Linked DNA regions of Caenorhabditis elegans. The protein of the gene in region 2 purifies or fractionates together with the protein of the main gene of each other region. This does not show direct contact. Each region holds a gene or a part of one and is shown on either strand. Other genes may lie near its edges. The genes, in order: ule-2, K05F6.8 and F36D3.5.

Region 1 (3,539 bases), on a different chromosome or scaffold from region 2:
TTAAGAATTTTTATACTTTTTAAAAATTCACAAAATTTAAAAATATAGGCCACAAAAAATATTGAATTGAAAATGTTTATTCAATAAATCTAAATCTTACCTGTTACTGGTTTTTAAGAGGAATTTGTTTTACGAAATTTAAATATTCAGCCAAAATAAATATACAGCGTCGACGGCAAGCCGAAATTTTCTATAGAACGTTTTATATTATGCTTGAATATTTAATGAATACCTATAACCATTTGTACTGCTGGTTTTAAGCTGGACACATTTTGTATAGTGCTGAAACAATTTAAAAATATTAAATTTTCCCATCATGTTTCATTAACTCTGTTAATATCGACAAACTGGAATTTTTCATTAGAATGCTGAATTCACTATTCTTTGTAATTTTCAACGTCAGCAAATGAACAATGCGCCTCCTAAATATGTGCGTTTAAAAATTAAAAAATAAAGTTTAAACAAATAAATAAATAAATAAAGTTAAATAAAGTTTTAAAAAGTTTAAAAGGTTAAAAAATAAAGCAATTCAAATAATAAACATTTGGCGTTTACTTTTTAACATCATGAAACAGTAAATTATTTGACAATGATTTATTAAAAATCCATGTATAGTTTCCAAATGAATGTAATTTGAAACCGCCTTTTATTAATCTCATGATAATTTTCATCATTACAAAAGTTAGAAACTGAACTTATTGAAAATATGAACAAGTTAATTGTAAACATTAGTATTTCGGTTTAAATAATTCAAATATATTGCATGGCATTGAGCACACATTTATTGTAACAAGATTTAAGTTAAAATGAATTTTCAATAATTCCATAGTTGTCGAACTCAATTTTCATTTGATGGCCCATCACACAACCGGATCTCATTGCAAAAATCATTCGTTTGAATAGATTTACATCACTGATTTTGCAAGTTGGCTGGTTTTTCAGTTCGTTCACAAAGCAAGGTAGGTACACAGTAATCCTATTGCAATCATCATCATCGAATTTCTTGAAATTCTTGTAACTTGGAGCAGGATCACAAGAATCAAAAATCTTGCGTAAAACTCCATTCCCAAGACATGGCTCCAGTTTTCCATGAAGTACGTCTAGAATCCAACGTTGATTGAACAAATATGACTGCAAAATTCTTGAACTATTGCAATTTAAGAATCCAGAACAATCTAGGACGTGAGTGACTTCTTCGATTAGTGCAAGATTTTCTGATTTCTCAGGACGGGGAATTTCATCAATTCTTGTGAAAAGACGTGGATTCTGAAAAGGGCATACGATTGAAAATAAATTAGCAGCACCCTACATCATGCGGGTTGGCTATGCGACTAGTCTTAGCCAGAGCCTGCTAAATGTGGGGCGCTCCTGAATCAATGACTTACCCTAACACAATTCATTATCGATTTGTATTCCACTTGACATTGCTCATTAGTGACAATTGGTGGAGGGGTACCCCATTGCCCGGAGACCAGAGGTAACAGGAAAAGAATGTAGAAAATCATGATTTATTTTTTTCTGTTTCAGAACGGTCTTATATATTTTTGAAAAACAATTGAATCGGTACTTCTTTGTTTGTATCAATTTTAAAGTTTAATATAACATCTGACTCATTTTCCCGAAGAAAAGTTTTTTTCAATTGAAAACGTATTAATTCAGAACAATTTTTTCACTGTTTCGGTGTTAAATTAAAAAAACACCGGAAAATTTTTCCAGTTACAGTTTCTTTCCTTGTTCCATCCAAAAATATAGTTAACGTTTCTGGAAAAATATCGCCTTAAGTTAAATATTATTTAAACGTTCTTACAATGTAGTACTAGGCAAATTCATATTTTATTACTACGTTACCCACTAAAGTACTGTGACTTACTATTAGAAATGTGCCCAAATAAACTAATTTTGTGATAACCCCTGTAAAACTTCTCAGCTTTAGCTGAAATCTCCAAAACGCGGAGTATTACGTGGCAAGAAATTTCGATAAATGCTCAATTTGAAATATTTTAGTGTTGTATCTATTTTTATTGTACTATCACTGTTTTGTAAGTTTAGATAATTTTTAAGCCAAACGCTCAGATATCAGGGTTTTAAATGCACTGAATTAGTTTCCATCTCGTATCAAAATATTGAGTTTAATTTTTGTACATGAAAACTTATATACAACTTGAAACGGTTGTCAACTTTTTTTAAAGCATAATCACTTTCTACTACATCATAAATATAAAAAATTACACACACAATCAATAATTTATCCAAATAATTGCAAATTTCAATATTTATGATATCCAGGCACAAAATAGACGTTAGTACTTCCCATACTCAATGGATGAAGGAACATTGTAGCACAGATGATCAATGTGAATAGGACGGCAGCAAGCGACATTCCTGAAAATTGATTTAGATATGGTAAATGTGACTCTCAAAATGAAATTGATGGGTTGTCGTGCTTCGAAATCAACTAAAACGAAGAACGGCAGATGCGAGTAGTGTATTTGAAACAGTAAAAAAAAATAGTAAATATGAAAATGTTCATAATTATCATAAGTCATAGTTTGGATTATTATGAAAACAAACGTACACTTATGCTCATTTTAACTACTCAACTAATAGTAAACTAAATACTGAGTCCTTATGAAAACTATGTGAAACCGCATAATATTTTTTCTTGTTATATATTTTTCTCAATTCTCACCTTCTGCAAATTGAATATTATAATTTGGCATCAATCTCTTTTCACACGAAAGTGGAGAATATGGTTTGTGGAACATTTCTGGCAGGTTAACAGTATCCAATTCCAGATTTCCAGAAATAAAAACTGGAAATTCATTTCCCGTAATCTTGACATCCTTATTCCAATCCACAAATCCACGCATATCACGGAGTCTTGTATTGTTGAGAATAACGAGTCCAGGGAATGAATTATGAGTTTTAATACTGACAAGATTTGGCATTTGAGGCATTCGATTGAATGGAGAATTGATTAGTGAAAGGGTTCCACGGATTTCACGCTGCAAAAAATAAAAATGCGGTTTCAGATTCTTTATTTTAGAAATTCAACATTACTCAGATAGATAACACTTAGAACAGAATTCGAGAAATTTCATCATTTGATAAAAAGTACAGAGTGCCTGCGCCCGGAAGATGTCGGACGCTGCATTTTCAGAAACCAACATACATGTCACCTTACCAATTTCTCAAAATTTGCAGCTTTCAAATTAATCACTCTCAAATGCAAATTTCCATGAAACACTTGACACCAGTTAGGCCACTCGAGGTAGTTCTGAGCGTCACGTTTCAAATTTTTAATGTTGCAGTGGAATTGGTTCGGGATTCCATCTGAAATACAGTTATCTAAATATCTAATTGGAAATTTTTTTTTAAATAAGCGTTACCTGTATCACAAGAGCTTCCAACTTGAGCCAAGACAACCAGAGGGAGCAGTAGAAAATTTAGAATGCAAAACTGAAACATACCTTCAATTGTTCGATTTTCTAGAAAAAAAAGTACTCACCATTCTGATTGTTGATTTGTCCAGGAAATAA
Region 2 (3,082 bases):
GTTCCGTGAGAGCCGAGATATAAACGTTCAAAGTTGTATTACATTTTTTCGGACATTTTTTGAACATTTTTTGAACACCGAAAACGCGTGTGTGTGGCAAGATGGGGGCTTTAGGAAGGAGGCAGACCATTTTTTTGAAGTCGGAAATGCTCAAGTTCTGGTTTCATTCCGGCAATCCAATGTTTCAAGAACACATTGATATCCTTTTCTGTTAACTTTGTATGAGATATGTCGATAGATGAGCAACTAGTGAGAAGTAGCTCATTTAACGGAATGTACATATCTAATGAAAGTTGTTGATGTGTTTTGGGCAAAACTTGGCGTAGTTCCAAAAATTGAGTAGAGTTCAATTGTTGATCTACAGGCTGGCGTAAGCTGAGCTAATTGGTCGGTGAAAATTTGGAGTAGAGCTCGACGACAAGCGGGACTTGTTTGAAGAAATCGATGGAAAGGTTTAACACTTTGAGGTTTTTCAAACACTCTTCAATCAGTTTCAGTCGCGGTTCTTTTAATGCCACATTGGAGTATGCCAAATAGAGAGAGAAATTCCTTTTAGGCTCATATAACATCTCAGCGAATCAGAAAAATCCAACCATATTTGAACTTGTTTGAAGATGTGAAACTTTCTGACCAAATTTTTGGTTTTCTCGGAAATCATTGAGATGCATGTTCTGAAAAATTATTAAGAATAAATATTATTTAAAGAAATAAAAACTCACTGTTGCACTACTGACATATTGCAAAAAACCTCCTTTAGGCTTTTCTCAGGGAGATTGAGAAGAGGAAAAGACGGTGCAACCATTATTAGGAGAGCAGAATGAGATAGGGGCAGTAGTGACTGGCAGTAGATCTTGTATGTGCTCATAGCACCGATGATTTCTATCTGAAAGGATGGTAATCGTACTTCTCTGGGCATCTTGCTGGCGATCATTATGAGGATTGCGAACACAAACTAACAGCAGTCCCCGGCCAGGACGTGGCTTAAATTATAACCCAGTGGGAGCACCACCAGGCAGTGTACCTGACTCCCAGATCCGTAGTGGAAACACTTGGAGAACGGATCGTCATTTAATCCTTTAAACCTGTTAGGCATCGCACCAGTGGTGTGCGGCAAATCTCAAAATTTGCCGAGCTCTGCAAATTCGGCAAATTTGCCGCACACCTTTGCATCGCACCTATTCGTAATTCGAAATATGTATATCTCATTTGAATTTTTTAACCAATACATTTTTTTTTAATTTCAAAGAAGTCTTGAATATACCACACCACTTGCCATAACAAATTTCAGGCCTTGAAGCTCAAAAAGGCCAGCCAAACTTGGCAGCCTACGTTCGCAACACTCCCCAGAAATGCGAGCCTGGATCTCTTACGGACCAGAACACAATGGAATGGGCAGGGTGAGCGGCAGGTGCTCACCAGTAAAGGATATTATTAAAAGGTGATCCTGTGAATCAATATTAATAATACATTCTCACACAATGGCTGCGGCACTGTTGAAAGATGATTAGGATAATTGAGCACAATGTGATCCTGGCAAATCAATATTATTGGTACATTCCAGAGCTCACTGTATGGGAAACATTATCAACTTCTAGATGGGATAGTTGACATATTCAATCAATAAATTTATTACATCTTAGCGTCTTGTACGAAGACCTGTTACTATTACCCCCAGCTCATTCTGCTCTCATACCTTCTCTCAAAATGGTCGCATCTTCTTTTCCTCTTCTCAATCTCCCCCAGAAAAACCTAAAAAAGGTTTTTTGCAACATGGTTGAAAGCGAGCAGTGAGTTTTTTCTTCTTTTTAACACCCATTAATAATTGATGCCTTTTTCAGAGTGTGCATCTCAATGGTGTCTAAGAAAACCAAAGAACTTGTCAGAGAGTTTCACATCTTCAAAAACCATCGACCATATCTGGAACTTACTGGTTCGATTGGCTATATAGAAGGCCTGAGTAGGCCAGGCAATGTATTTTACCAATTTCAAAATGGGAACATCGATATATGGGCAGAATCGAAATTTCGTTTTTCTGCGCCACAATTTGATGCGAAAAGTTGGTTGAAACACTTTCTGTATATCTTCCGCATATCAAGAATCGCTACTCTACATTTAACTCTCTCGGATGGAGGATTGAATGAGTCGCAATTACCAATGATTACGGAATGTTTGAAAGATGTCAAGATCTCAAAGCTTTCCATTGGTTTCGCCACCCAATTCCCGCTGATGATCAAACTTCTCTCCGCATTCCCACCAAACATTGAGCTAGGTTTACATGCAACCAATCCCCAACCATTAGACTCCTCTCAACAATTGGAACTACGCCAAGTTTTGCCCAATAAGCTTCAGAAGCTTAACTCATCAATCTACCTACCGTTAAACGAGCTACTTTTCGTTACCTGCTCTTTCATTGATACATTCTATCCAGAGTTAACAGAACAAGAGATCAATGTGTTCTTGAAACATTGGATTGCCGGATTGAAGTCTGGGCTTGAATATTTTCGCAGTGTAAAGCGTGGCCCTGCACTCAACCAAGACACTATTCTAAAAGGAATTCCTCATGAGATTGCACCAAGTAACAGGAAATTCAAATTGTTCGAAGTAGATTCGGGGATGACTCCTAAAGTCGGAGGAATCGATATACACCTGGGCCAAGGCATCAAAGCAACTATAATTTTAGAACATCGTTTCGACTATGCAGAGCTTTTTGTAGCTGTTCATGATTCTGAGTATATTTTATTTGAATAACTGTACTTGCTTTCAATAAATAAATGTTTTAATGATCTACAAGTCCAAGTTGAATATGGTTTTATTTTATCGTATACTACATCGTAGAGGACCCTAAAAACCAAAGCAACGAAAAGGGGGAGCCGACAAGTTTAAGTGGTGTCAGGCTGTCCCATTACGGTTTAATCTACAAAAAAAAATGCGTGAATTTTTTTGTGTGACGTCAGCACGTTTTTAACCATGCGAAATCAGTTTAGCCCCTAAATTCCCGTAATTCTTGTAGATCAAACTAAAATGATAGCTCAGTTAAGAGCCGTAGGCTTTTCTGACACCCGACGTTCAATCTGCCTTTACC
Region 3 (3,759 bases), on a different chromosome or scaffold from region 2:
GTGACAAGTCCTCCAAGAAGTGCGATTTGAACAAGGCTAAGGTAATTTTTCCCACAGTTTCTAAAACTAGAAAAAAAACCTTTTATTAATTCTAGAACCTCTGCCCACCGATCAACTCGACAGATGTTTCCGACGTGTCCATCAAATCGAATTCCGGTGAGAAATCCGAGAAGTCGAAAGCTCTGAAGTTGGTTCCCAATCAGCCAAAGTACACATTCCCGGAAGGACAGGGTGCTGCTTCAGTGAAGTCGTCGACTCTTCGAGCTTCGCCCAACAAGCTTCCATTCGCAGCGACGGGAGGTGTTCAGACAGTCAGCATTGCCAACAACACCAAGTCGAGAAAGGCATTCAAGGTAAGCAGAGGGAATTTGGTTTAGACTTAGGCTTAGAGTTAGGCTTTGGCTCAGGCTCATTAAAAATATAACTTTCCAGGTCAAAACTTCCGACAACCTTCTCTACCGCGTCAACCCAGTGTTCGGATTCGTTGAGCCCGGTGACAAGCTTTCGATCGATGTGCTCCGTCATAATGGAGTCGAGAAGACTGATCACTTGATTGTCCTCACATCCAATGCTTCTACTGAGCAGAATTGTGCCAAGGGAGTCTTTGAGAGTGATCCACCACGCGAGCTCACCGTCATTCCATTGGTTGCCAACTAGACTATGCCCAGCCCTCCATCATCAGCCTGTCTAAAGAAAAAGTGTCTCGAAAATGAATTTTTTTTTGATTGTGTGTGAAAATATGATGAATTTTGATTTGAATAAAGATTTTGATGGAGGTGATCTGTGTTTTTATATCTTGTTTGTTTAATGAAAAAAATCTTCAAAGATACTATAGTGTTCTGGTCATCGAACATCAAAAATTGTAAACAATTCCAGAGATCAACAACTTGCTACTTTTTGAAAGTCCCTCTATGACAGATTTTCTTACTGAAAAATTTATTAGATGTGAACACGGGGGAGCCAAGACGGGTTAAATGGGCTCTTTTTTTTATTTTTGGCAAAATGCCATTTTTTGGACTTTTGTTTTATCACAACTTTTTTCCTTTTGCACTTATAAACTCAAACTTTTTTCAAAAAATCCGTCTCTCTGAGTAGTATCTTGCACATAAGTTTCAAATAAAACAGAGCAAAACCCGAATTTTAATTCAATTAAAACATGGTTTTTTGGGGGTAAAAAGAGCAAAAAATTTTTTTTCAAACTGGGGAAAGCCGCCCTGGGCTCAATTTTGCTCCAAAATTAGTGCCGTTTTCTGCTCCACAAAAGGGCAAAATATTTCTAGTAGGATTTCAAATATTAGAGCATGAAGTCACACGGCTCTGTAGTTATTAATGAAAACAAAAGGGGACATTTTTTCGCGAGCCAAAAAAGTGTCAAAAAACGCGAAAAAGGGGCGGAGTCTGCACACTCGGCATTTATTAGAGGCGGCTTGGCAGAATCCAAATCTATGAAAACTTTTCCAAAATTCTAAAATTTTTATTTTTGTTTTTTTGTGGGGCCTGTATGAATTGTTGAAATTGGAATTCGACACAAAAACCCCTCTAGCGCGTCTGAAAATTGATATCTAGGTAAAAAAAAACGTACCGATAATATTTTTAAACAACCAAGAATCCAAATCCGGGAAACTTTTTATAAAACTCTTTGATTAAAAAAAAATCGATTTCCAAGTTGCTAAGCAATTTCGAAGTTGATAGTAATTTTTTCGATATGTCATCTTTTCGGTTGGTCATCTTAATTTTTTAAAGAGATGCAAATTTTGTAGTTTGAGATATTACAGTTTTCTCTGCAAAATGCTTGAAATAAATGGAATTTCGCTCCAATTTTATTTGAAAGGTGTTCCACTTGAATTGCTTGCCCAAGTATTTTTTTTCTGAAAACTTGAGTTTGATTCTCGCGTTCAAACTTTTCAAAAAGATTTGCCAAATTTATAAAAATATCCAAACGTGTTTTCTTCTGAAAAACTTTTACAAAAAATAAAATAAATTTGCACGTTTTCCTTATTTCCGTGACTTTTCATTTGATCGTCTTATCTCGTCATTGAAATCTTCCATCCCTGTCATTGCCGATGTGGACAACTTCCCAATCTACTGCTTTTCAAAAAAAGTGATAATCTTTCGGTGAGTTTACATTTCAGATGTTCAGTTTTAAACGAAACATTTCAGAGAAAAGTTCAAAATTGGTGTTAACAACAATGCAAATAACTAATTTTTATTTCATTATCGTTATTCAACTAGGATGTATGAAAATCGGTCAATCAGGTGAGTCAATGGAGTGATGGTATTCAATTTAACAAATTCCGCGACCGACGTTTCACAGGCCTACACGCTGGCGCATTGTGACAGGGGTGTGCAGCTGGCTGATGATCCTTTTGCTAATGAGATTTTCAAGCGTTGCCAGCGTGGTTAAAGACTTCCGGCGTGATTTTTGAAGGATGCCTGCAGGAAGGCCATGCCGGCAGCTTTAAAACACACAGGCAGCGATTGAAAATCACGCAAGCGTCGTCAGCAAACCACCCAGCAACGCGCCATCACCAAACAGATGCTCATGCGTGTTTTGTAGGCGTTTCGTGCTTGGTTCAATTATCTGAGGCGCCGTCGGTTGTGAGTACAGTTAAAAGGTTTACCAGAAAAGATGCGCCGGTGACGTTGCTGAAATCTGAAATGTTCTTTCTGCGAGGCCTGGGAAAGCTACTCGCATATCCAAAAACATTTGAAAAATGAAACTAATAAGCTTGACCAAACTATTCTTGTTACCTTCAACATTTCCAGCTTCATCCGATCTCCAAGCAATCAGTGAACAGTTTCGGATTCTATCGCGTGTCACCAATGCAATTTCCCTTCAAGCTGGAGCAATTAGGAAGGAAATCAAAGCTCGTGATCTTCTATCAGAACTTCTTCATATGCCCAGCGATCAGTTGAACACGGTTATGAACGTAAATGTGGAGGCGGCAAGTTTGGAGTTAAAAAGGATGCACCAAGAATACACGAAGTTGATTCAATTATCTAAAAATGATACACAAGCCTTGTCGGATGATGATGTTAAGGCTATGATGGCCACTTTGAGCTTCATATTGTTTTTCTCACAGCAATCGTCTAGCTTGTCAGCATTATCCAGTATCTCAACAAAAAAGTTGTTGAGTGAAGCCGGAACTCTTAGTAGTTACAAAATGTTTGCCACTAAATGCGCAAAGTTATCCTTGTTGGAAGATTTCATTGCTCTTTTTGACGACGACACAGGAGTGACCCCGGATTCTGCAACGGTTGCTGAAATTATCAATAATTTTTATATGGAGGAACAGTTGATGAACACATGCATTGATAGCTTGAGAAGTTTGGGTTCCAAAATAGAAAAATTGTCCAATTGGAAGGATTTAGCAGTCTACCGACAATTGCTAAATGGGAAGAACAATATAATTTGGTTTGAAACACACCGAGAATCCCTGTCATCGATGAATAGTACACTTTTGCAAGTTCTATCTACTTTTCAAACAGCAAAACCGCTTTGGAATAGCCCAAGCTCTCTCGGTCAGAAAATGGTTTTTGAAGCAATGGCTCAACTCAATAAATCAATCGTGGAAGCAAAATCTCATAATATTTCGCCAGTCAAGCAAAATTTGTTGTTCACTGCTGGCTTCAAAAACTCTGGAGATTTTTCGAAGATTGCTGGTGATTTGAATAGTAATTGGTTCAAGAAGCATGTTGCGAAGGGTTCAAGTACAAATTCACTGAGTAATGCTCTTGAAATATTTCAAACAATTTCGG

Evidence for each region.
Region 1: the proteins of K05F6.8 (region 2) and ule-2 fractionate together in Caenorhabditis elegans (co-fractionation; one large-scale study listed by BioGRID). This does not show direct contact.
Region 3: the proteins of K05F6.8 (region 2) and F36D3.5 fractionate together in Caenorhabditis elegans (co-fractionation; one large-scale study listed by BioGRID). This does not show direct contact.

What each region holds. Positions count from the first base shown.
Region 1 is NC_003282.8:14,633,097-14,636,635, reverse strand, and holds ule-2 (Uterine Lumin Expressed/locailized), read right to left. Parts: upstream 1,511-3,539; 5' UTR 1,506-1,510; coding exon 1,386-1,505; intron 1,267-1,385; coding exon 802-1,266; 3' UTR 612-801; downstream 1-611. Other genes in the region: irld-4 (Receptor L-domain domain-containing protein), read right to left, coding at 2,267-2,382, 2,690-3,005, 3,185-3,333, 3,390-3,459, 3,509-3,511.
Region 2 is NC_003280.10:1,566,816-1,569,897, forward strand, and holds K05F6.8 (F-box domain-containing protein), read right to left. Parts: upstream 932-3,082; coding exon 720-931; intron 672-719; coding exon 509-671; downstream 1-508. Other genes in the region: fbxb-49 (F-box domain-containing protein), read left to right, coding at 1,705-1,787, 1,839-2,748.
Region 3 is NC_003283.11:16,513,491-16,517,249, reverse strand, and holds the start of F36D3.5 (BRCT domain-containing protein), read left to right. Parts: upstream 1-2,009; 5' UTR 2,010-2,115; intron 2,116-2,160; 5' UTR 2,161-2,189; coding exon 2,190-2,256; intron 2,257-2,766; coding exon 2,767-3,759. Other genes in the region: F36D3.4 (Major sperm protein), read left to right, coding at 1-41, 96-353, 433-657.